4 linked regions of the Rhinolophus ferrumequinum genome follow. The protein of the gene in region 1 interacts with the protein of each later gene in a pairwise test. Links are inferred from orthologs where the notes say so. Each region holds a gene or a part of one and is shown on either strand. Other genes may lie near its edges. The genes, in order: CCNDBP1, PIMREG, THAP7 and C10H22orf23.

Region 1 (7,033 bases):
CAATGCTCAATGTTGACTGAGCAGTCACTGGCATTCTCTTTTCTTCCTTTTCCTCACTTTGCTACTCAATTCTAAGCTAGTTCTATGTAAAATGTGGTCTAGAGATTGGTGCCAGTCCATAAAGCGTTTGTTACCAGTCTGGGATGAATAAGTACAGTGATTGAGAGTGTTTAGAAACTTTTATGGTAATCTGACATTGCTTCAACCACACACATAATTTTATAAAAATACCAGTCCATGTGGAACTGGAATTAAAACAAACAAAACCATTCATCATTAAGACTAACATGCTGAGATTCTAAGAAAGCAATTGAGATTCAAATATATATAATTCAAATAAAAAGCAAATTCTAAGTTTTCATCTGAGTGAAACCACTGACCTGAACATGTATGGAAAAATAGTCCTATACTGCCTCCTCATGGTATTTTACTAACTGTAAATTTTAGGAGCAAGTCCTAAGTGTATCTGAAAGAAAAGAGTTGGCAGATAAGAAAAATAAGGTAATATTACTACTCCCTTTGAAAAAAATACTTTCTTCTGCAAAGCTTTTTTTTTTTTTTTTTTAAAGATTTTATTGGGGAAGGGGAACAGGATTTTATTGGGGAACAGTGTGTACTTCCAGGACTTTTTTCTAAGTCAAGTTGTTGACCTTTCAGTCTTAGTTGTGGAGGGCGCAGCTCAGCTCCAGGTCCAGTTGCCATTGCTAGTTGCAGGGGGCACAGCCCACCATCCCTTGCGGGAGTCGAACCAACAACCTTGTGGTTGAGAGGACGCGTTCCAACCAACTGAGCCATCTGGGAGCTCAGCGGCAGCTCAGCTCAAGGTGCCGTGAACTGTTCAATCTGAGTTGCAGGGGGCGCTGCCCACCATCCCTTGTGGGACTCGAGGAATTGAACTGGCAACCTTGTGGTTGAGAGCCCACTGGCCCATGTGGGAATGGAACCGACAGCCTTTGGAGTTAGGAGCACAGAGCTCTAACCGCCTGAGCCACCGGGCTGGCCCTGCAAAGCTTTTAAAGTGCTCTTATACCATTCATCTCTTGTTCCCTCATCACAGATCTCTGAGTTATGTAGGGGGAGAGAGTTTATCATTGTAGGTGCAGCAAAGATATTTTTCCATTTCAAAACATCTGGATGTATGGACTGAAAAAGAGAATGAAACTATTGACTATGAAAATCAAATAAGGCAATGAGTATGCCATTTTTAAATAAACTTATCCCAAATTAAGTATACCTCGCTCTAGAAAAACTGGGCATAGGGCATACCTGATCACAAGTCAACGTTTATTTTCATTCGTTTTATAATAAAGGGTTATTAAAAATGTATAAATTCTTTGTTCTAGCAATTCCACTCCCTGGATTTTTTTTTTACACACATACTCAAATATTGTATTAGGCAGTTTATCACAGTATTGTTTATAATAGCTAAAAGTTGGAAACAGCTTAAATATCCACATAGAGTACTGGTTAAATAAATAACAGGCACATGTACTCTACTGAATACCATGCAGCCATTACAAAGAAATGAACTTTATATGTGCTGCTGAGAAACAATTTGCAAGCTATATTGCTAATTTGTTTCAAAAAGAAGGTTCAGAAAAGTGTTTATGGTATCCTATCATTTGTGTGAAAAGCAGCAGGCATACACACATAAATGTGCATATGCTTAGAATAGATATGAATAATCAAAGGAACTGAGGAAGGAAGACAAACTTTTTAGCACACTTTGATATCTTTTGAATTTCATACTGTATAATTGTTACTGGTTAAATATAAAGAATAATTCAAAAGGGTAAAAAGGGTATTATGCAATATAACAAAAAAGGTGCAGCTCCGACAGCAGATAGATCCTAATTTAAAATCTAATCCCACTGCTTATTACCTTAACCTGAGCCTGTGAGCCCGCTTACTCATCTGTCAGATGGGGATCATATAGCTGAAAACAAACTGCAAGTGCGTAAAAAAAATTATCAGAAAGGAAATAACCAGGATGCACTTCAAAATGAACCAATACAATTTAGATGACCTGCCTACTCCATGCCAAGTACTGCACTTGGCAATGTAGTCTTCACAACAATCCTGTGGGATGAGAACTGCAGTCTTATTTATGACAGATGATAATAAATCCCCTGGTTTGAGTGTAAAAGGTGGAAAGAAAATGGAAGGATTCCTGAAGAATAACAAGGCAGCGCAAGGATTCCAGGAAAGTAAAGCCCACCTGTGAGGACGGCAGTGGCAGTGGAAGTCTAGAGAAGACTTCGGTCATAGTCGTGGCTTCCCTTGACACTTTCACAGCTGCCTCATCTGGAGGGGGAGGGGGTGTGACAAAGCAGGAAGCAGGAGGCAATATGTTAGTGCCAAAAGGATAAGGCTGCAGCTGCTGCACGGACTTTAAAGATAACGCGTTCTCTCTACACCCTTAGACGTAGAGAAAACACCTCCAAAAATCAATGTTTTATATTTCAACCTCTGAGGGTATATGGTGAGGTATCCCCGCAGAGAGGATGCAGCGGGGGGGGGGGGGGACAGCGGGGGAGGGAGGGGTTGGGACGCTGGGAGAAGACAGGAGAGGCACTCACTGAGTCTCCTCCAAAACGTCTTCCGATTGAACTCCTTGGTGGTCTCCCGGGCTTCGCCGACTGGGTGTGCGTGGCGTGTGGGCCGCCAGGTGGCAAAAGAAAAGTAGAGGTTAGCGGAGACACCTCCGGCCCCCCACCTCCTCCGCCCGGGTCCCCGCTCCACAGCTTGCCCGCTTCCCGACCCAAGGCTGCCCCTGCGGTCGCCCGGCCCAACAGCATCCGCTCACCCCGCACTCCGGGCAAGAGCAACCGCAGCTCCCCGGCTAAAAGCCGGAGCTGCTCCAAAGGCGGAGTCAGGGTGGAGATCGCGGCTGCAGGTGCACCTGCGCCCGCCATCTCAGCAGATCGCCTGGGGCCTGCAGACAAAAGACGCCACAGCAGCGGCCAGAGGCACAGCGGTAGTTGCTCCACTTCCGGGCGTCACAGACCTGGGTTAGTTTCCGGCAACAACCCGCCCCGCCCCAGCGGCCCAGCCACGCCCCCTCCCTCCCCAGAGGCCGGGTCACGCCTGACACCCACTCCCCGCCCCCGACCTCCTCCCTCAGGCCCAAGGCCCGGCCGCACACGCAAGGACCAGTCCGCGTTATTTCTTATTTATCATTCATTTATTTGATTGGTTGAAAACACCCCCGACTAAGGAAGCAGAAAAAAGGGACTGGGAGCTATAATAATAGCTCAAGGGTAGTCAGGGTCAGGCTCAAGTTCACACTGGTTCCCTTTCCCTAAAGTGGCACCCTTGACAGCTAGGTACTGTGCTAGGTACTTTACATGAGGTAAACCTAAAAACACTGGGCTGCACATGCGCCCATACACATCCAGGCCCTCCTGTAGATCTAGATGCAGGCTTTCTCTTCACAAAAGTAAATCAATCCTTTGCTTTCTTGAGGAAGGAAGGAATCATGGCATTATTTAGAGACTTTTCTGCACTCCATTCTGCAGGAATGAATAGTGGGTAATTTCCCCAACTCCCAGGCGTCCAAGGAGCAGCAGCTCCCCGAAGCGTGCCCACCAATACTGGCTTTCCACCTGCTGCTGGGGCAGAGGCCTACAGAGGTGGATGGTGAGACGTGGCTTTCAGGAGCTCAAGTGGCTTTTTAACTGCACTGTGAAGGTTCCAAGCTTGTCGGAGTTCCGTGTCCACACACAATGAATGAGAATAGGTGTCAGCAATGTCAACCAGGTCCTTAAAGGGGAGAAGAAAAACGCTAGAGTTCCAAATGTCATATGAAGAAAGTAGCAGGAATAAATCTGCCAGATGTACAGCAGTAACATAAGAAGGTGAACAGGTATAATTTTCAAGCGTTTTCCTTGATGGAGATGAGACCTGAAGTTGTGACCAAAGCACCGCTGCAGCAAGCTCCAACACAGGTAAGCCATCAAAGGGATGTTAAAAAACGCCAACTGGAAAGAAGAGCAGAACAGAACCACTAGCTTACCAGCAAGTCCTCCAAGGGGTCAGGGTAGGGTCTAATACATTATTGGTGGCTCCTAAGAATATGTTGCTTTCTGTTTTGAGGGTTACCTCTGATTCTGATTCGTTATGCTTTGATCACATTTGGTTATAACACTAAAAACAGTTGACTTGTAGTTAGTTATATAGCTGCCTGTATCCTTTTCTTCCTCGTAAAGGCAGGTGCCCTTGATAATGTTTAAGGTGGAAATGAATTGATGTGTATACACATACACATACTCTTTTTTTTTTTTTTTGGCAGAGTGAGAGGGTCATGGGTATCAATATTTCTTTTTCTTTGTATTTTTCTTTGAAGTAGCATGATGAGTACTGGAATACAGATTAGAAGATTTAAGTTATAATCCAAGTTTAACTGCTGTGTCATTCATTCATCACCCATTAGGTGGCAGGCACTGCTATACTCTAGGCTTGGGACATACTGGTGAACAAGTCAGAAAAGATGCATCATAGTGTTTACAGTCTAACAGAGAGAAGCAAAACCAAATAAATAAATAAACAAATAAACAAACGAACAGGAAAGATAATTACAGACTATGAGAAATTCGATGAAGGAAATAACTGGGTCATGAGAAGGCAACTGGGAAATGGGCTCTCTGAAGCCCGAAGGACAGGCCTGAGTCAGTGGAAAGAACTGCATTCCAGACAGAAGAATCAAGTGAAATCCCAGAGGTGGGAGAGGTCTTGGCCTATTTAAGGCCAATGGGCCTGGAACATGATGAGCCAAGTGGAAATTGGGACAGTCAGCAGGACCAAGATCATATCACTGCTCTGTTTAAAGGGTTTTAAGCTGAGAAGTGAGCTGATTAAAGTTTTGAAAGGACCACAGTGGATGCTCTGTGGCAAACTGACAGTAGGGAGGCAAAAACAGCAGTAGGAAGACCAGTTAGGGGGGTCATGCAGTAACCCAGAAAAGAAATAATTATGATTTAGACTATGGTGGTAGCAACCGGGATTGAGAGAAGCGGTGGATTCAAGATATGTATTGGAGGTAGAGCAAACAAGGTATTACTTGTTGATGAACTAGATACAGGGTACAAAGGAAGGAGAAGAACTGAGGATACATCCTGAAGAAACTGGGTGAACTGGGGAGCCATTTATTAAAATTGCAAAAACTAGGAACAGTTTTGTGGGTAGAAATTAAAGGTCCTATAAGAGATATACTATTAAGCTGAGATGCCTATTAGATATCTAAAGGAAGATGTGAAATGGTAGGTGGAGATATAGGCACCTGAAGTGCAGAGAAAAGGTCCAGATCAGAGATATAGATTTAGGAGTCATGGGCCTAGATCAGGGGTGTCAAAACTGCGGCCCGTGGGCAAACTGCAGCCCGCAATCCATTGTTAATTGGCCCGCAGCAAATTCCAAAAATATATTTAGTTTACTTAAATAAACCAGGTGAGGCAATACGTACTTCACCTTGAGTGAGTGGCCCGGCTGTTTGTGTATTTTACCGCATATGGCCCTTGGTGAAAAACGTTGAAAAAAGTTTGGACTCCCCTGGCCTAGATGATACATAAAATCCATTACCAGTGTACTACTTATTCAAATATGAATATAAACCCACCCTTTGGTAAGACTCAGGTTTTACTTAGTGTAAGATTGCTCCTGAGAGACAACCTCCATTTACATAATAGAAAATTGAACTGGATCCAGGACATATGTACATATGAAATACTGCTATACAGAGAATGTTGTGGCCTATGGTCAGTGATTGCAGAGGTCTTCTCTATTTGTTTATCTCTAATTCTGCTGATCATGTTTTACTGTCCTGTTATGAGGCTGTGAACTCATTTTGAATAATGTTTTTGGACCTCTTCTAAAACTTCAGATCATCACCTCCAGATTTTGGTCCATTGGTCCTACTAGGTGAGTAAAATAAATAGGTAAATAAAATAAAATAAAAAAGTAAATACCTTTCAAACTGTTTAGAGATTTGCTACAGGTCAGGATTTTGTGTGTTTGTTTGTTTTAAAGGCATCTCAATCCAAATGTAAACCAATATATCAGTGTTTCTCAAAGAAGTGTACTAATAAGACATTACTAGAAAGCCCAGGTCTGGTTTTGCCCAGGGCAGCTCTCACTGGATAGCTAACCCACTTTTTGTGTATGTCTATTTTTCCTTTCCTCCCTCTGAACTATTTTCCTTCTTCATTATCATAATCAGAAGTCTATCATTTATTCTATCATGAGTCCCTTATTTCATTTTTTTGTCAATGAAAAGCTCAGTGAAACAAACAACAAAAACCAAAATCACTTTCACCTCTCCTAAACCCTGCCTGCCAAAAATATATTTTAGATGTTTAAACGACAACAGTGGAAGAAAGAGCTTAGGAAGCACTCAAAAGGCAAACAAAACACCAGCTATTAAAGTCTTCCCTGCCAGTAATTTAGGAAACATGATTTATGGTGTTCAATTTGGGATTTGGGATTTAATGCGTATGTGTTATACAATTAGTCCAATAAAGCTAAGGTGTTCTTAAATTGCATTTCTGACTTCTTACCTGGAGAATTCCAACCATAAATGTTACACTGCCTTGTAGGAAATGGCCATCAACAAAGATCCCAAAGGAAAAGCAGCAACCTATTTTGCCCTTAGTAATTTCACCAATAAACCATGGTCCTAAAGAGGCAATGGAGAAGAAATAAGAAGCTTAAATAACTATGACTCTGTAATATAACTATTACATACATCACAAGATGCATTTACAGGAATAACAAAGAAATATGAGACCATTCATCTGTAAGCATTTTATTTGCATAGCTTTTCTTCTTTGCTAACCTCTATGTTGCACCCAGTGTCCTAGCTAACCAGCTATTTGCTCCTCTGCTCCATATTTCTCTGATTATAAAATTATCTGAGTACATGCTATACCTGGAATAGATATGTAGCTTGTAGATTCCAAAAACATACTGGAGTACATTCATAAAGATTAAGAGATTCTGTTGCAATAATAACTTCAATACAAGGCATTAACATTTCCTT
Region 2 (7,091 bases), on another chromosome or scaffold:
CAACTAGCCACAGCTGATGGCCATCCAATCACAGTTGATGGCCATTTACTACCCGAGGGAGCACCTTTCCACGTGAGGGCAAGAGCCTGGAAACTGCACTCCTGGCTCTGTCCCCACTGGGTCTTATATTAATTTTTGCTCCATTAGGCCTAATTTTCAGGGGATGTCTTATTTTTTCATGTACAACAATCTATATTTATTCAAATACAGTCACGTCATCTTCTTCTGGAACATCGTCACAACGTACTAAATGAGTCCGTCTGGCTGACAATCTTAACTGGGGCTTATTTTCAGCGTAGGTCTTATTTTTGGGGAAACATGGTACACAGGAGGAAAGATGGATGCTTAGATGGTAAAACTACAAAGAAAATAAAAGTGATTACCATAAAGTCCAGGGAGGGAGGGAGGACACTCAGCAGGGGTGGGGTGGCTTCTTCTGGGGTCCTGGCAACATTCTGTTTCTTCACTGCGTGATGGTTTCTTCACATGGATGTTTGCTTTCTAAGTATTCATTATACTAAGCTTCCTGATTTAGGCATTTTTCTCTGTGATATAATTCACAATGGAAGAAAAAGATATAATCATGTCTCACACTTAAATCTCTCCTATTGTTTAAATTGCTTCCCTTTATAAAAGGGTCAAAGGACGCACAGCGATTGCAGTTATCAAGAGGAGGTAGAGCTGATAGACTGGGCCTGTGGTTGCCAGGGTGGGAGTTGGGGGGCATGACGGGCAGGGGATGTTGAAGCTGATGCCAGTGGTTTCGATTTCACTGCTGAGAACAACGAAGTGCTCCAGCCACAGCTTCCAGATGGACCCCAGCCACCACTTGGCCCCCAAACTAACCTCCTAACCGACTTCATTAAAATGTAACTCTAATAACTCCACTCCCCTCTTCAAATTCAGCCAAGGGTTCCCACTGCCCTCAGGATAAATTCTAAGCTCCTTTCCTGCCAAGGAGCCCTGCAGCTCCTGGTTCTTGCCATCCCAGACCCTGCCCTCTATGTCTCCTTCTCTGGTCCTGGAACCTGGCATGTTCTGGCCGCCCAGCACTGGGCTTTGCAGATCCCTCTATCAGACAACCTCGTCCCCTCACTTTGTCCCACTAACTCCTCAGCTAAAACACCATATGCTAAGTAAGGGCAGCCTGCCCTGACCTCCACCTCCAGGGGAGTTCCCCATCCCCTTACACACCATGGTTGCCCCCGAGCACTTGGCATTCCTGGCATTTTTGCAGTTTAATGTCTGCTGCTTCCCTCAGACTGACAGTTTCATGAGGCCAAGGAAACTGGTGGAAGCTTTGCTGTTGGACAGAGTTCCCTCAGAGCAGGGCAGGGCTGGAGCTGGACCCCAGAAAGCCTCAGCTTGGAACAACGGACTGGCTTTCCCCCTTACCAGGAGGAGCTGGAGCCCCTGCACCCACCCCAACCCCTCAACTAGTAATCTGCTTGCTTCAGCACACCCTCCTTCCCACCCCCTCACTACACCACTCCCTGAAAGGCAGAGGGAGAGCCTTCTCATTCAGAAAAAAATGTTTCTTCCTTCTCTCGTTGCCATGGAGACTGTTCTTCCCTCACCTGGTCTGCCAGTTACAGTTGTAAGAGAAGGGGTAAGAATGCCCCAAGCCGGGAGAGCCTCTTCCTACATTCACTCATTTGTTCCCCGATGCTTGATGAGGCCATTTAATCAAAGTTTAAGAATTCGCATATTACAGTCAGACACCCAGGGTTCAAGTTCCAGCTCTGATTCTGTTCCAGCCTAGGCAAGACACTTCGCCCATCTGAATCTGTTTTGTCATTTGTAATGGGAATAAAACTACTCTACTTCATGGAGTTGCTGTGAGGATTAAGGCAGAGTAAAGAAATGCACTTAGCACACATGTGGTGAGGGCTGGACAAATATAAGCTGCTGTATCGATGCCCACGGCATACCGGGCATTCTGACAGGTTCTGACAGACAACGGTGACAAGACAACCCAACTTGAAAGACTTTCTAAGTGTTTCACCTTCACGGAGTCTTTCCCACACTTTCAATTTCATTTTTCTAAAAATACTCTTGCTTTCCCTCCTCGTATTTCACTGGTAAAGGACATGAATTAATTACAATAAGGAATACTGCCAGCATAAACAGGCTTGGGAACAAACACGCCTGACACTTGGGAAACAACTCTATTAGGGAACAAGGTGAGTGAGCAGGCGAACTAGAGCAGTGAGCCATTGTAAAATAAATGTAACGAGCTGTCACCGGCACTAAAAAAATAATAAAATAATAAAATCTCAAAGGACCATCACACATAGTCAAGCACTGTTTCAGGAAACGTTTGTTTCGGGTGTATATATGTGTGTGTGCTGGGTGTCTTACCTGGGTACTAGTCCCCTTGGTATCCCCTGTGCAAGAACCCCACACACAGCACCACACACACACACACGCACACTCAAACACAAACATACACACTCAGACACACACATTCTTTGCTTGGTTAACTCATTCTCTAGGTCTCAGACCTAGATAATAATTTTTGTGTCATAATTTTCTCTGATTGGGTAATTACTTATTGATTATTTGACTCATTCATGTCCATCTCTTCCCACACACTAGATTTGAGCTCCATGAGGGTAAGGAATGCTTTGTGGTCCATTTTTAGCATAATGCTTAATCTATTATGTTGGTGCAAAAGTAATTGCGGTTTTTGCAATTCCTTTTAACCGTTTAAACCACAATTACTTTTGCACTAACCTAATATCAAACACCATTAGGTATTTGGAAAAACATGAGAGAGGGGACATGGGGAAGGAGGAGAAGGGCTGGGCGAGACCAAGGGGATGCCCTCTGAGGCGTGTTGGTGAAAAGTGCCTGCAGTGCCCAGGAGGAGTTGGGTATCCAGGAGGTGAGTGGATACACCTGCATGGGAGAAGGAGGAGAAGCAGTGTTGTGCGGTGGGATGGCACGTGGAGTCTGGTCCCAGACTGGCAGACTTTGAATCCTTGGCTCTGTGACTTACTAACTGAGGGAAATCGGGGCCCAACCTAACTGTTTGTCTATGCCTTGGTCTCCTCATTTAGTGGCAGGCTGCCATGAGGGTCAAATGAGCTCATAATATAAAGTGCTTGGAACACAGGTAGCTGGTGCATAGTAAGGACTCCATACATGCTCTTTGGTCTCACCATCCCAGGGAGGGGAGAGCAGGGGAGCGGTAACTGAGGCCACAGAAGTGGGTGAGATCAGCCAGAGATGGAGAAGAGGCTAAGGACAGAGCTTCAAGGAGCCCATCAGCAAAAGAATGACCAGAGAGGTGGGGAGTTGTGGGGGTAGTAAGGGGGGAGGAGACCAGATGAGGATGGCAGCAAGAAACCGAGGGGCCGCACTGGCCAGTGCTGCTAAAGGTGGGGGAAATGGGGGGAGCTTTCTGTATGGCATATTTTTCAGATTGTTTGGATGCTAAAGGGAGGGAGACATTCATCAGAAGAGAGGGGAGGGTCAGTTGGAGTGGGGGAAGGGGAGCTTAATTGGAGGAGAGCAGGCGATGTACTAGCTACCTTCCCTCTTCCCGGTTGGGTTTTCTCTGGGGCAGAGCGAGGGTAAACACACACGGTAGCGGGCCAAGTGGGAAGTTTGAAACAAAACATCCCCGGGAACCCAGGCCCTGAGTTCTTTGTGACAAAACCACTGAGACCTCCTGGCAGTATGGGAGGGAGCCCTCTGAGCCTGAAAGGCCGCCTGCGCCCCGCCCAATCAGACCAGCCTGAATCCTTTGTAGTTCGAAGAGGGGGCCCGGCGGCCTGGGGCTGAGCGTCCCGGAGGTGGAGCAGGGGGGCCTGGCTGGCCGGCAGTGGCGGATTCCCGCTGTGGCGCGGGCTGGACCTGCAGATACAAAGGGGCAGCTTGGCTGGGCGCCTAGCCCCGCGGGGGTCCTGAGGGATGAATGGGGACGGCCGGGCCAATCCGAGAGCAGAATTCACAAAGCCGCTAGAGCAGAAGGCCAATAAGATCCCCGATGCGACAGCGACGCGGGGAACTAACCAATCAGATGTGAAAACTGGGCCGGGGGCGGATCCGCGCGGAGTTTCAAATCAGCTGGGATGGGCTAGGAGCATATGTGCTCGGCTTCTGTTCTACGTGGGGGCTGTTGGGTGAGTGCGGGCCGGGGCGTTGTGGGGCTTCTGTTCTGAAGGGACGTGGGCCCCTGGGGAAGCGTGGAGGTCTAGTTAGGACGGGCACGCTGGTGGGGTGTCTGGGTATTGCAAAGTGGAAATCGGGGGGTCTTGTCAGCCGGTCGGGGTCTGGGCAGGAGCGCGTTGACTCAGGGCGAATTTGTCAAAGAGCCACAGGTCGTCGAGCCCGGGGCCCAATGCTGAGGCTTGACGAGGGCCGCTCCTGACCCTCCCTCCCTCCCTGCTTCAGGCGACAGCGGAGAGGAGGCTGAGGTGAAAAGACAGCTGTTTTAGACACTTGCAGCCAGGAAATGCTGACTGGCCTTGTTCAGCCTCTGCCCTCTTCTGGGCCTCGCTGACCTCCCTTTCAGGAAACTCCCTCCTCTCCACAGCCACCGTTGCCAAGTGCCTCCACCCCACGGCATGAGCCTCCATCCCATCCCTTCCCTCATACCCAGGGTCTCTGTGGAGCCTGGGAATGGGATGCCGGATGCCTTGCTGACCTGCCTTTTGCCATCCCCAGGGGCTGGTGAGCGGAACAGACTCTTGGCCAGGCAGATGGCCTCTCGATGGCCAGCTGTGCGGGTCTCCATGCGCAGGAGATCTCTCCAGGACCGGGAGCAGCTGGAGGAGAGCGAGGTGCTGCAGCCTGCTGTTGGCCATCTGGAGACCTCCAGCGGGACCCTGGGCTCCCTCTGCAGAGAGTTCCAACGGAGGCTGCCCCTGAGAGCAGTCAGCCTCAACCTGGGGGCAGGCCCCTCCTGGAAACGCCTGAAAACCCCAGAGCCAGGGCAGCAGGGCCTCCAGGCTGCAGCTCACTCAGCTAAAAATGCCTTTGGTGCCATGTCCCAGGTAATGCTGACCACGTCCAGGTATGGCGAGCTTCCTTGGTGCCAGACAACTGCTGCCCCAAGGAGCCCCCAAGAATATTGACTCCACGAAGACAATGCCTTCAATTTGCTCATTGTTGTGTTCCCAGCACCCCAAGTAGTTCCTGGCACTTAGTAGGTGCTCAACACATAGTTAAGTGAGTGAATGAAAACAGTGTCATGGAAGAAACATCCTCACAACATAAGATGGTAGAGCTGTATTGTGATGGGAAGTTGCAAGCAAGCGGCTAACGGTGGGGGGAAACCAGAAACAAGTTTAGTTGGTGAAGCTTTCCAGAGGAGGTGAATCCACGGAATTCACACAGGAAAGGGGAGGAATGAGGAGTGTATACGGCAGGTGAAGTAGTGTGAGTCCAGACCCGGAGCTGAGGGGCAGCAGGATGCTAAAGAGGGATGGAGAGAGCTTAGTCTGGGTGTGGCATGAGGACAGAGAGCAAGGTGAGGCAGTAAAAGACGGGTCCCGTGTGCTGAAGGTGTTTAGATGGTCCCAAGAGCCAGTGGGAAGAATTTACAACAGTGGGAATCAGGTTCGATTGGCATATTAGAACTTGTTCTTTAGCTACTTGAAGGAAAAGGGATTAGTAACATTCTCCCTGGGGGTCTGGCCTTGCAGAGGAGGGAACAACTTCAAGAGTTACTTGGACGGTAGATTTGAGAGGGTTTGGGGACAGATGAGATGTGTGGGCAGGAAGATGTCACGTATGTTGGGTGTGAGATGCCTGCGGGCCTTCCAGATCGATGTGTTTTCTAACCTGGAGTTGGAGATGTGCGGAGTCTCCCCTAGAAAGGACAGAGGCCAGGAGAGTGAATAGACCTCCGAGGAGAGAACTGGGGGTGGGAGGAGGTTCCCCTTGGTGTCTGATTGGGACTCTGAAGATGTGAGATGGGAAAAGCTGTTTCTGAACGCTTTACAGAGAGGTCTCTGAACCAAATGTTAATCCTTGTCTGGAAGAGCCCTAGGACTGTGTTATTCCCAGGGATCAGACATGAAACAAGGTAGCCTGCCCAAGGTCACATAACTCACCAAATGTAACTCGAGCTGGCTCTAAGCTCTGGACTCTGGTTTGCCAAGGCAAAGACAGTCTAGCTGAGGAAGAGCCTTCACGTTCATCCCCCAGCTGGTGTGAAAGACACAAGAATTAGGTCTTGATCCTGTGAGTAACGAGGAGCAATAGAAGGGTATTGATCAGAACTGCTCTTGAGAAGGATCTCTGTGCACCAGTGGAGGATGGATTAGAGGGAGTGAGACCAGAGGCAGGGAAATAGGTTATCTCACTGTGTCTTGGGGGGTAGGCTTTGCCCTTGAGTCCCTGGGTCAATCTGTGATCTGAAAGGGTTTGGACTTAGGCAAATAGAGGTTCTATAAGCCAGTGGTTCTTCTGCTGACCACTGCACTCATGTCTGGGAGCTCTGAGCGGGGTCCCTACAGTGGACCCATGTCATAGAGTATCACCTACATCCCTCACCCTTGAGACTAACAGCTACCTGTGCGTGTAGGACAGGCTGAAAAGTGGAGGGGTCAGAGGTATGGCTTGGAGATTGGGGTGGCTCACCCTTGGCTTATCTGTGCTCTTTTTTCCATGTACTTATCTCAGCGAATCCAGGAATCCTGCCAAAGTGGCACCAAGTGGCTGGTAGAGACCCAGGTGAAAGCCAGAAGGAGGAAGAGAGAGGCACAGAAGGGCAGTAGCGTGCCAGCTCGTAGTCTGAACCAGAGGAGCACCCGCCTGTCTGGAACTGCCCCTGCCCGCTCAACCCTGGGCCCCTGGGAGAGGGAACGTCACCACCACTCCACTCAGAGGGGCTCACGGGCCCACCCACTTCGGCGGTCCAGGAGGGAGGCCGCCTTCCAGAGCCCCTACTCCTCTGCAGAGCCCCTCTGCTCCCCCAGGCAAGTGGAAGAGAGCCTTGCCTCCAAAATACTAATGGGCCCCAGAGGCTTCTGAGCCCCTCCTGGGGCTCCCTAGAGCCAGGGGCACCCTAAGCTTAATCACGTCTGTATGCTGACCCAGCTCTGTCCCCCACGAGTTGGGGATCTGGGAAAGTCCTT
Region 3 (7,498 bases), on another chromosome or scaffold:
GTTGGGCCCTCACTACTTGCCGAGCCAAGCAGCCCCAGGCAGTCAGAAATTGTCCTTGTCCTTGTTTTCAAATAAGACGGGCCCCGTGGTGGGTGGTGGGCCTGTAAGCCGGGACTCAGGCTGGGCAGACTGGGCCTATGAGGGAAGTCTGTTGTGTCCCCGCAAAGGAACTGAGTCTGGCCTGGGTTTTAGGAGTGTTTTCAAAGAGGATCAGCTTGCTGAAGTCAAGGCTGTTTCAGATGCCACGGCAAGGGGTGCCTAGTGCTGCCTGCAGCCTCTACTCACAATCCTGGTCCTCAGAGAACCCCATGGGGCACGGAGCTGGGCTTTCTGCTCTCCACAGCCAAGAGCTTAAACTCCAGGGTTTGAGCCCTCTGCAGTCTGCAGCCACTGTTTGGGGGAACAAGCCTGGGATCCAGGAGGGGCCCCAGCCCCCAGATGAATCATACAGGGCCTCCTTCAGGAATCCACTTTATTATGGCATCTGGTGGGTCTGACGGATGCAGCTTAGATCAGGTCCCTGTCCAGGTGGATTCTGAAGGAGGAAGAGGTTGGAGCCCTGACAGGCAGTTCCTCAACCCTGGGTCCAGTGGCCCCTCACTCAGGCCATGCTGCTGCTTAGCTGCATGGCAAAGTCCTGCACATGCTCCTTCAGAGTCTGGCGGGCATCTGCCTGTGCCCGCTTCTCACGTGCCCTTTCCTGCTGCAGCTTGGTCAGCCGCAGCCGCAGCCGCTGCTCCCGCCGCTTGCAGGCCTGCAGCTGGCGCTGGGCCTTGTCCAGGGCGTCGAGTGCGGCCTCCGCCCGCCGCTTCCAGAGCAGCGCACTGCCCACCTGGTAGCTGTGCTCATTCTGGATGTAGGCTCCAGCAGGTGGTGGGAGGCGCAGCATATAGGCTGAGGGTGAGACAGGCCGTGGTTCAAGAGGGGATGGCTGCCGCTCTGGCTCCCGCTCCGGTGAGGGCTGGGCACTGCAGCCTGCTTCATCCGCTTGGGCACCCAGAGGCCCCAGGAGGTCTGAGAAGGGGCTGCTGAGGCCAGGCTCCAGCCTCCCAGTGGGGGAGGCAGGCAAAGCAGCAGGTGCCGAGGCCTCTTCCACAGGAAAGCAGGAGACGTCAGCAGGTGGAGGTGGAGAAAAAGGAGTTGTGGGCCCTTGACTGTCAGAGCAGCTGTGGAGAGACTGACAGGTCAGGCTAAAAGCTTGCCAGACCATAATTCACCAGCCCCCTTGAACCCGCCCCACAGACTCAGGACCCTGTTCAGCATGGCTGCTGGTAGATACCCTAAAGCCCTGTCCCTCAGACTTGGGGTGGGAGTGGGGTACCCCCCACCCAGAGCACATACCGCTTCCTGCATCGCCGGAGCCGGCTGACGTCAGGGGAGCCAGGTGGGTAACTATGCCCCTTGGTCTTGGTTGTCCGGCGCAACTTGGAGAAAGACTCAAATATCGTGGGAACTGCCCCCTCCTTCAGCCTGTGATACCCACTGTGGGGGAAAGCAGCCTGGATGAGATGGAGAACAAGCGCCGCCACCCGCAGCTGACCTGCAGGGGCGCAGAGCCTGCATGCCCTCCAGCACCGCAGAGCAGGCTCCCCAGTGCTAGCCAGCACGGCGAGAGGTAGGAACGCATATTGAAAACAATTAGTTTGGGCAATGCCAAATTAGGCAGAGTTCCACCAATCTCTTCCCTGCAGAACTCCTCCAAGTTACGGTGCATGGAAAGGCGCCAACAGAACGGGGCTGACCAGCCAAAAAGAATGATTTCATTTGGGGATGTGGTGGGAGGATGGGGGTTCTAAGGCAAACCCTCTGGAAGAGCTCAATGTTTTTCTTTGTGTCACTGGCACAGTCATCCTGAAGGGGTGGGTCTTACTGTTCTCATCTGTCAGAAGGGGAAACTGAGGTACAGAGATGGGAAGAGGCAGTCACCCTTGAAACCAGGTCTGGCCTTGTGCCAGCTGCTATAGGGACCTCATCATCGGGCCCTACAGATGCCCCAGTGCTGGCTGGCAAGGAGGCTCACCTGATTCCCACCAGCTCAAAGCAGTTCTCCTCGAAGTGTTTGGAACAGAAGTAGATGTACTCAGATGCTGGGTCCCATAGGCCCTGGCCGCTGGGGTCCAGCCTCTGGCAGTTGGCCAGCCACAAGCCTCGCCTTGGGTTGTCCTTTTTGGGAAGTCTGTGGAGCCACAAACCCGTGAGTCCCAGGCTGCCTGCAGCCCTGGCATCATGCTGCATAAGCTCCACAGGTGGGAAGAGCTGGCCTTGCACATGCTGCAAGAGACCTCCCTTCAACTGTCAGGTAAGCACCGCCCATCCGGGCACAGACGAGGAAACTGAGGTCTCAAAAAGGGGAACAACGTGGTCAGCGTCATCTAGCAGGTTAAGAGTCGCAAAAAATAAGTCCCAAGGATGGTGGACCTCCCTTTCATCCTTTCCCGTCTGGACTCAGTCCCACCTGGACCGCCCCCTTCACTCTCTCCCACCCACAAGTTCAAGCCTCGCCCCCAACCAAAGAGCATGCGCAATGGTGACTTCATGAGGCGGGCAAAACAGGCGCATGCGCATGTGAATCTTCGCGTGCAAGACGCACGCGCGCTGACCTGTGGAAGGAGATGCCGCTGTTGCGCGTCTCGCGCGTATCCCGTGTGCAGCAGCCGGCGGCGGAGCAATGACGCGGCATCTGGGGAAGAGGCGGGAGCTTGGTCACGGGCGACTGTTCGGACTCAGAGGGGCCTCGCGCCCCCAGCCGCCGCTCCGATTCGGGCGGCCTTGGCCTGGCAGGTCTGCCCCCCGGCCCGATCTCGCCTGAGCCCCGACCCAACCCGTACTCCTGACTCCCCTCAGCGGCACTCACGGTCTTGCCATTGCTGAGCCGCCGTAGTCTCGCGAGATATAGCGAGCGGCGGAAGTTGCTACCATAGAGACTCGAAATCGCGGGCGCTCGACCGAGGGGCGGGGCGGGCCCCGGAAGTGGCGGAAGCGTGGCGTCGCCGCGGGACCCGTTTAGTCCTAGGGTCCCTGGACGCCTGCGCCGTGGCAACGTTGGCCCCTCTGTCCTTTCGGGTCTAACTTTTGACCGTCAACGCCCGGGCACCCAATGAGCGGCTCCACTCGGCAGCACAGGGCCCGGGGTACGGGTCTGCGCGACGCGGCGGCGGTAAAACGACAATGCCTCGGTACCCGCGCAAGCCGCCCAGGGAGGCCCCGATTGCAAGAAACGTACTCCAACAGCAAGAAAGAGACCGGGACGCGTGATCAAAAGAACCTAAAAAATACCAGTGCTCACGACTAATTTCAGGAGAGGTGCCTGTAATGAGAAGAGTGGGCGGTGGCCATTGATTACGTTTTGGGAAAATGTGATGGGCAGGGAAGTTTCTGTGTAGCGACTTCCGTTAGGGACGCTGACAGGGAAAACTAAGGGGCTTTCCTGGAATCGGAGGTCAGGAAATAGATTTGTGCTGGGCAGGGCGGCCTCCCTGGCCCCTCCCAAGACAGGGTGAAAACAGCCACTCCACTGCTTAGAAGAAAACCAGGTTACTATTCCATCCTTCAAAGAACATCAGGCATGAAGGATTTAAGAATGTTTACATTTAAAATAATCGAAGCATCTTTCTTCCTAATTCCCTGAGCCGTGCCTTTTGAAGCCTTTCTGGGAGAAATACAGTAACTAAACATAAAGACAATAATTTTTTCGGTCTGAGAGGAAACATGTTTTTCCCCTAGAAAATCCACTTGGAAAAAGGCAGGTATTTGAATGGGGAATTTTGTCAAAGTGAAGCACAAGGGACAGACAATACCTCAATACAGAAACTTTAATAGTTTGTATACATGTCTTGTAACGTTACAGTGGGGGATGGGAAACAGGGATGGTTGCCAGCTGTACTCTCCCATTCAGTATTCTTCCCCTTCTTCAGCCTCTGCTTCCACAGAATCCACACCAACCTCTTCATAATCTTTCTCCAGAGCTGCCAGGTCTTCCCGGGCTTCAGAGAACTCCCCTTCCTCCATGCCCTCCCCCACGTACCAGTGCACAAAGGCTCGCTTTGCGTACATGAGATCGAACTTATGGTCGAGGCGGGCCCAGGCCTCGGCGATGGCAGTGGTGTTGCTCAGCATGCACACGGCCCGCTGCACCTTGGCCAGGTCTCCCCCAGGGACGACAGTGGGGGGCTGGTAGTTGATGCCCACCTGCCAGAGGAGGGAATAGAGTGAAGTTTATATTGTGGCCTCAGAAATGGTAGCTTGTTTTTCAAAACTGGAGCTGTGGACACAGTTTAAATGACACCCTATAGAAACTGGTCCAGTATTTTCTGGCAATATCAACATTTAATATCCTTTGACTGTACACTTTCACTTTTTGGATTTACCCACACAAGAGCACAAAGCTGCATGTGTAAAGATTTTTATGTACTATTTAGTTTAAAGCACTGCTTGTAATGGCAAAACTGGAACAAATGTCCATCATGGGGAACTAAATATACGCCCATACAGTGAAACACTATGTACGAGCATAAAAAAGAGTGAAAAATCTGTCCTGGTATATCAACATGTCCAAGGTATAAGGTATACTTGGTAAAAAGAATAGCAAGTTGAATTCTATGTATTTATGCTTAGCAATGTGTATAGAGTAACAGGCTACTGCCTTGGACAGCGAGGGGAACATCGTGCTGGAGGAAGACAAATGCCTGGGAGTGTGAGGCAGGCACCGATCTCTGTCCTGTGAGCAGATAGCAGGCAGCAGCAGCCAGACACACAGCCAGTCTCCAGAAGAGTTGGGAGGGGCACGGAGGATACGGGGCTCTGACCCCGATCAAGGGGTGCCCTTCCGCAGCTCTAATGCCAGGCCAGACAGCCTCTCAAAGTGGGAGTGCTGCCAGCTTCCTGTTCTCTTTGGCCACCTGTGTGCAGTGAGTCAAATCTATCACCTACGTGTAAAGATTGTGCGTCCTTTGCCCATGTTGCTGGTCTCTTTCTGTCAACATCACCCACATAACGAGGCATCATATACCTCGAATATGCACAGAGTATCTCTTGAAAGACAAACCTCTGGGGAAGGGGAAGAGAATTTAGTGTTTTTCAGCCTTCTGCATTGTTTTAATATTTTGCCATGTATATGCATTTTTATAAAAAAACTAAAAATTATTAAACATAAAAGATTCCTTGAAAAGAGTGTATCCCTGAGCAAATGGTTGTTAAAGAATATATGGTGAAATTACACTAAGACTGACAAAAAAAAACAACCCAAAAAACTAGCATGAGAATTCAACATGGTTATCTGAGGCTGGACTGTCTTCTTTGGGGACAGTCAGTACAAGCTTTGACTTCCTGTGCCTCCCCACACAGACCAGCCTCCCCACTGGGTGACAGGAGGCAGAGACTCAGCTATGATAGGAAATCTGGGCACAGGGCACAGCACTTCCCAGCTGAGGCTTTCTTGGATGTGCTTACCTTCCAGAGGTCACAGTGACTAAAGAAAATTTCCTCCATGCAAGTCAAGAACGTGGTAATTACACACATGGAGTGGAAGGTTTCAGCTCCTACCTCTAACCTCTAAGGTCTGCAAGATTTAATGAATATTTCCAGATTGATGAAACCTGTTGTTTTACCCTTTTCTGTGAGTCACTTTAAATCTGTCAGTTTTATGTCCTCAGAGATGATCTGCGTCATGGTTTCTTAGAGTGGGTCTGACAGAGGGCTAGATAGCTTCAACAACTTGTGTGTGGTCAGAGGCAAGCTACTGCCATTCCAAATGGGAACAAGATGACACATATTTCTACTACTTGTCATATTCAATCTGGCATGACCCTGGAACTTGTAACTCCACAAACACCTTAGGACTCCTCAGGGCTTACAAATATGAGGTCTACAGCTTTGTCTAACACAGGAAACCAACTGTGAACGAGGACTTGTAACAAAGAAGAGGGCACAAAATTAACGAACGCAGGCATGATGAAGCACTTAGCCTGATAATCACAACAGGTCTAACGCCTGACATTCTGTTATTTGGCTTCCAAGTACATGTTGGAATCCATTTACAGTAACGCGCCAATTTCAAATGTCCACATGAATTACCAAAATGCCCAGAAAATTTCTACATTTCTATTAGAAGACTAAATTTCTATTTTAGGAAAATTCATAGTATAAGAAAAAAGTATCTTATTTCTAAGGCCAACCTACATTTTCTGAGTAATACTACCACTCCAAAAGGGGGCCAAAGATCCTTCGGAAACTTTCCTATTCTGTTAAAAAAAATTCTCCCACCACAGATAAATAATGTGATGACTCAGGAAGGAATTCAAGACACCACTGAATAAATTATCACTCTGGTACACTCATTTATGACCAAGAGCCTAGCTGCCATGTATTCTCCACAAGGACAGCATCCTGTCGCAGGGTCTGCTACATGCTGAACGATAAAACCACTCGACAGCACCCAGTCCTACCTTAAATCCCGTCGGGCACCAGTCCACAAACTGGATGGTGCGCTTGGTCTTGATGGTGGCAATTGCCGCGTTGACGTCTTTCGGGACCACATCTCCCCTGTACAACATGCAGCAGGCCATGTACTTGCCGTGGCGAGGGTCACACTTGACCATCTGATTGGCCGGCTCGAAGCAGGCATTGGTGATCTCGGCCACGGACAGCTGCTCGTGGTAGGCCTTCTCGGCCGAGATGACGGGCGCGTAAGTGGCCAGGGGGAAGTGGATGCGGGGGTATGGGACCAGGTTGGTCTGGAACTCCGTCAGGTCCACGTTCAGGGCCCCATCGAAGCGCAGGGAGGCCGTGATGGAGGACACGATCTGCCCAATCAGACGATTGAGGTTGGTGTACGTGGGACGCTCGATGTCCAGGTTGCGCCGACATATGTCATAGATGGCTTCGTTGTCCACCATGAAGGCACAGTCGGAATGTTCCAGGGTCGTGTGGGTGGTCAGGATGGAGTTGTAGGGCTCCACCACGGCCGTGGATACCTGGGGGGCTGGGTAGATGGCAAATTCGAGCTTGGACTTCTTGCCGTAGTCCACTGAGAGCCGCTCCATGAGCAGAGACGCAAACCCAGAGCCGGTGCCGCCCCCGAAGCTGTGGAAGATGAGGAAGCCCTGCAGCCCCGTGCACAGATCCGCCTGAGAGAAAGCAGAGACCATGAGCAACGCCAGCAGAAGCGACCCCACCAAGCCGCTGTCACTTTTCTTTGCCTCCACAGGAGGATACGAATTCAAATCGTCCCCAGTGAACATGCACTGCACTTTGAGGGGAGGCAAAGCAGACACTAGAGATGTATGCGTATGGATGCATGGAGCCCCACGGGACAGGAAGACCATGGAGTCGTCATTCTGGCCTGGGTTTTGCCAACATGACCTCCTGGTCCCACTCCAAGGCCTCCCTCCCATTCCAGGCTAATGCCGTCAGGAAGCCTTCCCAGTGCTCTTACCAGTTTGCGGATGCGGTCCAGGACCAGGTCGACGATCTCCTTGCCGATGGTATAATGGCCTCTGGC
Region 4 (7,349 bases), on another chromosome or scaffold:
CCTCTTGTAATTGCAGAAGTCAAACGTGACTTGTATTCATCTTTTGTTATCAGTATATGTTGCGTATTACAATTTTAATAGTTTTCCTTTCTTAAAATGTGTATACATTTTTTTTGGTACCGTGTGTGTGTGTGTGTGTGTGTGTGTTCATATATTTAACAATTACTTATCAGGCATCTGTCATGTGCCAAACATCATAATAGATGCTGAGACAAAGCTAAGAGCTTTTGCTCTCAAAGAAAGAATTCATGGTCTGGGCAGGAGACAAGAATAAACAGAACAGCAGGTGCTTTGAAGGAATGCAAGTGTGCAACAAACTTAACAAGGTGGGGGGCATCTAACTCACACGGTGGGTTAGGAAGACAGTCCAAAGATGAGACTTGAGCTTGTCTAGGATTAGTAGGAGTTCCCAAGCCCATGAGGAAGGGAAGGGCATTCCAGGCAGGCTGAATTGAATGTGCAAAGGCACAGAGGAGGTAATGTACTAGGTTTGGACAACTAATTATGGAGTATGAACAGAGCAAAGGTGCATATAGGGTCACAGGCAGGAGAATAAATATTACAATAAAGAATTAAGTCAACAGGACGGTGGGGTGGCTCAGTTGGTTGGACCACGAGCTCTCAACAACAAGGTTGCCGGTTCAATCCCCACATGGGATGGTGGGCTGTGCCCTCTGCAACTAAAGATTGAAAATGGGAACTGGACTTGAAGCTGAGCTGCGCCCTCCACGGCTAGATTGAGGGACAACGACTTGGAGCTGATGGGCCCTGGAGAAACACAATGTTCCCCAATATATTCCGCAATTTAAAAAAAAAAATTAAGTCAACAAATATTTATTGAGTGCTTACTGTATGTCAAGTAGTGTTCCAAGTGCTTGGCATAGAGCAGTAAGATAAAATTCTTCCCCTACAGAGCTTATACTATAGTGAGAAGAGATAAACAATAAATAAAATAAGTAAAATGTGTATAACAATAGAGAAACAAGACAGGGAGTGCCAAGGAGGTAGTGCGGGAGGAGGGGGAGAAAGCTGCCATTTTAAATATGAATAAGATGGTCACAGAAGGCCTCCTTGATATGACAGTTGGACAAAGCCCTGAGGGGAGTGAGGAGCAGGTCATGTGCGCTTCTCGGGGAAAAGTGTTCCTGGAAGAGGAAACAGCATGATCAGAAGTCTTGAGCAGAGGTGTGCCTGGCAGGCCAAGGACAGCAAGAAGAGATAAGATCACAGAGGGAGCAGGTGGCCAGATCATGGAGAACTTTGTACGTCTTTTTGGCAATTCCTTTGAATGAGATGGGAAGCCACCAGATGAGGGTTCTAAATCGGAGACATCAGTTAACTTAAGATTTGAAAGGATCACTCTGGATACTCTGTTGAGAATATTTTGTAGAGGGCAACGGCAGAAGCAGAGAGACCATTTAGGAAGACCGAGGGTATCATGCAGGCAGGTAAGAGAGATGACTCTGGCAGCAGAAAGACAATCAGAGCAGACGGAAGGCAGGAAAACCAGGAACACAATTTCTGCAGTAATGTGGTTGTAAAGGAATAAAGATCTAAACCAGGCTGGTGCACTAGGAATGAAGAAATGGAACAGGGCTGAACTAAATGAAGGAGCCAGAATTGACGGGACAGGAATGGAAGGAGACCGGAAGGATGGAGAAAGAGGTTTCTGACACAGTGAATACGGGTACTCGAGAGTGTCCTGAAGAGAGAAAATTCAAAAAGAGGGGCTTTGGCTTCTAAGCCAAACGGGACTAAAAAAGTCGAGGGATCACTCTCCAGGAGACATAAAGCACTTCTTCTTCCATCAGTCACCCAAGACAGAAAGCCCTATTTTATTCATGAAGCTAGTAACCCACCCATCTAGTTGCTGAATCCAGAAACCTAGCGGTCATGTTTGTCATCTCCCACTTTCTCAGCCCCAAATCCAATCCATCAAAATATCTCTTCCATCTGTTTCCTTATCAATGGCCCTAGCAATGCACAAGTTCAAGCTGCAGGTCTCCCACCTGGCGGTCTGTGACAGTCCCCTAATTAATGTCTCTCTCTCATACTTGCTCCTCCCTGCTTCGCTCCTGAGGTCAGCATGCTCTTTCTAAAGTGTCAACTTTACATCATGCCACTCCCTGGTTCAAAACTTGTCAGTGGCTTCCTTCAACCTACAGTCTACAAAATCTTGCCTGATCTGGGCCCTTACCTCGCCAGCTTTATTCAAGGTCACTCTCCCCCTTGCTCCTATGCAGCCCCACGCTGCAGAGCACCTGGCACATAATAAACAATCAACACACAGTCGCTGAATGAATAAATGTGACATCTCACCCATCAGTGAACTAACTGCCTCAGAAACCACGGACTGTGGTCCAAGTGGACAAAAGCCTGCAGGCCCACCCTCTGGGGCTGTTGCGCTACCCAGGACTGGAACTCTGCCCACTCTAATGGGGGGTGGCTGGGGCAGGGCCTTTGGTCACAAACAGGAGGCAGATGCATTCAGGCAATGATCACTGGGCAGCCTGTTTGACAGCCTGGGCTGCAGGAGGGAGACTGAGACTACACACTGACCTCCTCGGCGTTCTCCAAGTCATCTAGCCCTTCATCCTCTTCCACGTCATCAAAGTCATCGCCGTCAAAACTGGACAAGAAGAAAGAGGCCAATTAGTCAGAGCACCACTTACTGGAATCCAAAAGGGCAGAGAGTGTCTCAGCCAACAGTTAGGAGGTGCTCCACAAACATCTACTTAATGAGTGAATCAAACTTCTGTTCCATTTTACTCCTTCGAATTCACCCCCATCAACCCCCAAAATTGGCTAGGACACATTCTTCATCACTGTCTCTTTTCTCTCTCTACGCTGCATCATTCTCATCAGCACAAACATTTTCCCCATCTTAAAAAAAAAACAAAACCTCTCTCCCCCCAGAGCCTTATTTCCATGCTCTGCTTGGGAACAAAAATCATGGAAGAGTTGTCCATCATCACTGTTTCCAATTCTTCTCTTTCCGTTCTGTCACAATTTCACTCCAAGAAGACCTCCATCTCCACGGCTCCATCAAAACCACTCCTTCTTTCAAGTCTGTGAATGATTTCCATGTTGCCAACCAATGGACTCTTCTTGTTCTCGTTTAGCTTGACTTTTCAGTGGCACGTTAGCCCACTCTCGCTCAGTACACCCTCCTCACTCGACTGCAAGGACACCTCCCTCTCTTGGTATTTCCCCCACCTCACTGGCTGCTCCTTCTCAGTGTCCTTTGCTCGTGTCTCTTCTTCTCCAACCCCAAGGAGTCCCTGTTGGAACGCTCTAACGCTCAGTCACCTCCCCTTCTCTACTGACACCCCCTGATGATGTCACCTGTTTCTCAGTTTTGACTAATATACTTATGCGGACCACTCCCCTATTTTAATCTTCAGAACAGACCTCTGCTCCCACCCCACACATCGGGAAATCTTTTTGGCGCCAGCTTCAAAATGAACTCAGAATTCAAAACCACTTCTCACTACCTCTACTACTAACACACTACCTTCTCTCGCCAGACGACTGCAACCTGCCCAGACCTTTCCCACCTGTCGCACCACTCCTCTGGAGTACTTCTACACAGTAAGTCCTCATTCAATGCCCACGATAGGTTCTGCGACTTTAAGCAAAACGATGCACGACGCAACCAATTTTACCATCGACTAACTGATAGCAACAGGTGGGATCCTACCGCATCTCATCAACGTTAGAAAACGGTATTCGAGGACCCGCTGTACTACGTACTTTTACTGCCTCATCTCACACGATCCTACGTTATCTGTCCCCTCTTCTAGAAGGGAGCACCTGGAGAGGAAGGGCTACGTCTAACACAGCGCAATATTCCCAATACAGGACCCGGAACCTGGCGCAGTGGAAGTTTTCTGAAAGACACCTTTTCCACTGATCCTCTCTGCCCCCTCGAGCCTGTGCCTTTTGTGTCCAGTCCCTGGCTACGCTCTTGGTTCCGCGCCCTTCCCTTCTCCGGCTCCGCGGGCCCCTTCAGCAGCCCCAGTCCCCTCGGATACGGTCCCTCCACGCCTGGCTCGTCAGCCTCCTTGGACTCAAACTCCCGCTTCACCCACCCCTTCCGAGGCTCCGCAAAGGCCACTTGGCTCCCGCACTCACTTGTCCTCATTGTCTGACATGACGCCGACGCAGCCGCGACTCGGCTCTGCGCCCCAGACCCGCACGGAGATCCGCGAACAGCGTGCCTCCCACCAGCCCCGCGACACGCGTCCTCTGCGCCTGCGCCGTGAACCAGAAGCAATCACTTCCGGTAGGCAGGACTGAGTAAATGTGCGCATGCGACGAGATGCATGCTCGTTACCATGGTAGCCAGAGCGTCCCGCTGCCGGCTCTAGACACAGCGATCTCAGTGTTTCTGCCGGGTCCCCGCGCGATGCCGCGGTAGAGCCGTGCTTTTGGGCTCCGGAGCCCAGCCACCGCTCTCTGTGAGGAGGGGTGCACCCAGCCGGCGTCTTACTTTAGGGTGAGGTTTCAATTTTGGGGTAACATCCTAGAGGCTTCATAGCAGGGTTTTATCTTGCAGTGATGATGAAAGAATCCAACCTGACTAAATTCCAACAGCTATCTAAAGGCCCTCTTCCTCCCCAAAGGCCTTCCCTGCCACAAGCAGCAGGTCAAGATGAGGTCTCCGTTCGTGTGTGTGTGTGTGTGTGTGTGTGTGTGTGTGTGTGTCGGTCTGTCTGTTTCGGGTGGGAGAGGAGGGCACTCGCAATAGTGACACGCGGCAACACGATTCTCCTGCAGCCGGACCTCGCTCCCAGACTTCGGTGGTGTTGGAAGGGCGGGGTGCAGGAGTAGAGACAGGGGGTATGTCATTGTGTGTTTTCCCTCCTTAGGGCCCTGCCATGGCTTCCCAGGAGAAGATGGAGGCAGTGACCAAAGGAACGGGGTTCTGGAGCTGCCCCAAGCAGGCCACTTATACCCCTGGGACCTGTGAGCTCCTGAGAGGTCAGTGCGCTTAAAGGAAAAGAGGGGTGGTAGCAGTTACCCTCCGTAACTCGGGTCTCCCCTTTTGACCTGTGGCTCAGCAATTGCTATTTTCATTTTACAGAAAGATTCAGGTCCTACAACTTGCAAGTGGCCAAAAGTCAAAGAACCAAGAATTTTAGAGTAGTTAACAATTGTACATCCCTTAGATCACACTTTCAGTTTCCCCTGGGAAGCTTTATCTCCCCCCACCAGGACCCACCACCACAGTGGAACCAACTGCGATGTGACCAAATACCTTTTTCTTCATTGGAATTAGCGCAACCTGTAGTCAAATATTTAGTATGTCCCATTGGATCAGTATCCACCTACCCCTCTAGCCAGTGAAATCCAATAGGGCTGGGATTGTTCCTTTTTTGGCTCACCATTACAGCTTCAGCCCCTGGCACATGGTTAATGCTTGGTCATTCATTCATTTATTCACTCACACAACAAAAAAAATTTTAAAAGCCCACTATGGGCTTTAGACATTGTTCTAGATGCTATGGATACAGCATTAAAAACAAAAACAAAAACAAACCAGCAAAACTTCTGGCTCTCATGGAGCTGATATCCTAGCAGGAGGGTGACAAGTAATAATAAGTAAAATGTGTAGAACTTAGATGGTGATGAGTGCTACAGAAAAAAATAAGACAGAAGAGGAAGAGAGGGAGTATTCAGGTGCAGGACGGGGGTAGGAGGTGATACAATTTTAAATTTCAGTGGGTGAGATGAAGGCTCAGCAGGCTTTACAAAAGTGCTTTATCTTGCAGTAATGATGGAGGAATCCAGACTGACTAAATTCCAACAGCGCCACATCATGGACACCATGAAAAGTAAGAGGCAGTCCACAGAGGCTTCCTGGGCAGAGGGATTCTGGGCCACGTTTTTCAAGCTCCTCCATATTAAGAGGTAGAGGACATCATTTTAAAAGACCAAAATAGTAGAGTGTAGTATTTCCGACCCTTGCATCTGGGGGATTGACCTTGAGGCGGCCTTTGTTTCTTCCCCCAGACACGGGTCCTGGCACCACAACCAGTCTCCTGCAGTTCTGCTCTAGCTGCCTTTCCCAAGAGATCACAGCCCAGGCGAGACTTCCTGTCCAGCCAAAATAGTCTCAAAACTGTCCTGTCTGCAATCTATCCCTCCCTGTTACACACATACCATAGGAGCTCTCCAGAGGAAAGGACTGTGGATGTGTCTCATTTGTCGTTTTATTCATTCATAGCTTAGCTAGCAGAAACAAGAAAACTGGCAGAATTCCAACTTAGGAAGATTATGCAGAGCCTTTCCATAGCTCACCTCTGACCACACATTACATTTTTTTTCTTCTTTTCTTTTTTTTTTTCTTTTTTGTTTTTTAAGGAGGACACAGCTCACAGTGGCCTATGCTGGGATCGAACCGGCAACCTTGGTGTTATTAGCATCACACTTTAACCAACTGAGCTAACCGGCCACCCCTACATTACTTATTTTTGAGGAAAACAAAAAAGTGGAAGTACGTGGGCACAATAGCCAGGGGCCCTCTAAGATCTTGAAAGCAACTTTGCTTTCTGAGATGTAACTGAATCAATCAATATTTAATGGAGCAGAACACAGACCTGTAAAGTTGCCTTTAAGAGAGAGAATACCAGAAGGTCCAACCCTGCCGAGTTTTACTTGAATCTACTGAAAGCTGTTGCCGTCTTTGAAGAAAGAATGTGCTTATCAGGAGGGCATTTGATCAATGACAGAAGCATAGGGAAGAGAGAGTCAGACATTGGCACCTGTTCAGCACTGGCTGAGGGAGGGAGGCTCCATCCGGCCAGGTCAGAAGTCAGATGTCCTTCCTTATTGTGGAAAAGTACAACTCAGGCTGCCTAGTGCCGTGACATATCTGAATCACAACTCAGTCTCCACGCTCAGCAATCTACTAATAAACTGGTGTCCCCTGTAGCATGACCACAAAGAGATTATGCTAGAAATTTCACTAAAAGTAAAACTAGCAGACCAAGGACTCCATCTGTCTTGTTCACCACGGTAGCCCCAGCACTTAGCTGCTCAAAATTTTTTTTTTTTTTTTTTTTAAGCTGCTCAATGTTTATTGAAGGACTGACTGCATTAGTGGTTAGGCCAACATGAGTAATTGGTTCACCTGGCAGTGTTATTCCCCTTAGAAGTTTTATTTTTTTAAATTGCCTCCAAGCATTGGTGTTGAGTCTGCTTTCTTCTAGAATCTTCTCTTTACTTCTCTTACCCAAATCCTACTGTTGTTTTGAGCCTTCGTTCAAATTCTGTTGCAAGCCATAAATTCCTCTCCTTCACCGGAACTCCCAGAATTACTCGGGCCATAAATATTTGCTGAAAAC

Evidence for each region.
Region 2: the proteins of CCNDBP1 (region 1) and PIMREG interact in binary tests that used the Homo sapiens proteins (3 or more experiments, as listed by UniProt). The two-hybrid records come from large-scale screens. The link is inferred for Rhinolophus ferrumequinum from reciprocal best matches to the Homo sapiens genes CCNDBP1 and PIMREG.
Region 3: the proteins of CCNDBP1 (region 1) and THAP7 interact in binary tests that used the Homo sapiens proteins (3 or more experiments, as listed by UniProt). The two-hybrid records come from large-scale screens. The link is inferred for Rhinolophus ferrumequinum from reciprocal best matches to the Homo sapiens genes CCNDBP1 and THAP7.
Region 4: the proteins of CCNDBP1 (region 1) and C10H22orf23 interact in binary tests that used the Homo sapiens proteins (3 or more experiments, as listed by UniProt). The two-hybrid records come from large-scale screens. The link is inferred for Rhinolophus ferrumequinum from reciprocal best matches to the Homo sapiens genes CCNDBP1 and C22orf23.

The regions. Positions count from the first base shown.
Region 1 is NC_046289.1:62,568,194-62,575,226, forward strand, and holds the start of CCNDBP1 (cyclin-D1-binding protein 1), read right to left. Parts: upstream 3,022-7,033; 5' UTR 2,916-3,021; coding exon 2,807-2,915; intron 2,640-2,806; coding exon 2,580-2,639; intron 2,305-2,579; coding exon 2,219-2,304; intron 1-2,218. Other genes in the region: TMEM62 (transmembrane protein 62), read right to left, coding at 3,654-3,980, 6,552-6,670. UniProt on the Homo sapiens protein: May negatively regulate cell cycle progression. May act at least in part via inhibition of the cyclin-D1/CDK4 complex, thereby preventing phosphorylation of RB1 and blocking E2F-dependent transcription.
Region 2 is NC_046304.1:13,749,325-13,756,415, forward strand, and holds the start of PIMREG (protein PIMREG), read left to right. Parts: upstream 1-4,091; 5' UTR 4,092-4,130; intron 4,131-4,674; 5' UTR 4,675-4,709; coding exon 4,710-5,003; intron 5,004-6,636; coding exon 6,637-6,932; intron 6,933-7,091. UniProt on the Homo sapiens protein: During mitosis, may play a role in the control of metaphase-to-anaphase transition.
Region 3 is NC_046308.1:23,399,082-23,406,579, forward strand, and holds the start of THAP7 (THAP domain-containing protein 7), read right to left. Parts: upstream 3,014-7,498; 5' UTR 2,855-3,013; intron 2,681-2,854; coding exon 2,601-2,680; intron 2,272-2,600; exon of another isoform or gene 2,236-2,271; coding exon of another isoform or gene 2,177-2,235; coding exon 2,021-2,176; intron 1,483-2,020; coding exon 1,342-1,482; intron 1,178-1,341; coding exon of another isoform or gene 1,167-1,177; coding exon 602-1,166; 3' UTR 1-601. Other genes in the region: tubulin alpha-3 chain, read right to left, coding at 3,892-4,188, 6,444-7,124, 7,433-7,498. UniProt on the Homo sapiens protein: Chromatin-associated, histone tail-binding protein that represses transcription via recruitment of HDAC3 and nuclear hormone receptor corepressors.
Region 4 is NC_046293.1:9,026,851-9,034,199, forward strand, and holds the start of C10H22orf23 (UPF0193 protein EVG1), read left to right. Parts: upstream 1-4,345; 5' UTR 4,346-4,498; intron 4,499-4,871; 5' UTR 4,872-4,880; coding exon 4,881-4,983; intron 4,984-5,774; coding exon 5,775-5,837; intron 5,838-7,349. Other genes in the region: POLR2F (DNA-directed RNA polymerases I, II, and III subunit RPABC2), read right to left, coding at 2,560-2,629, 4,135-4,154.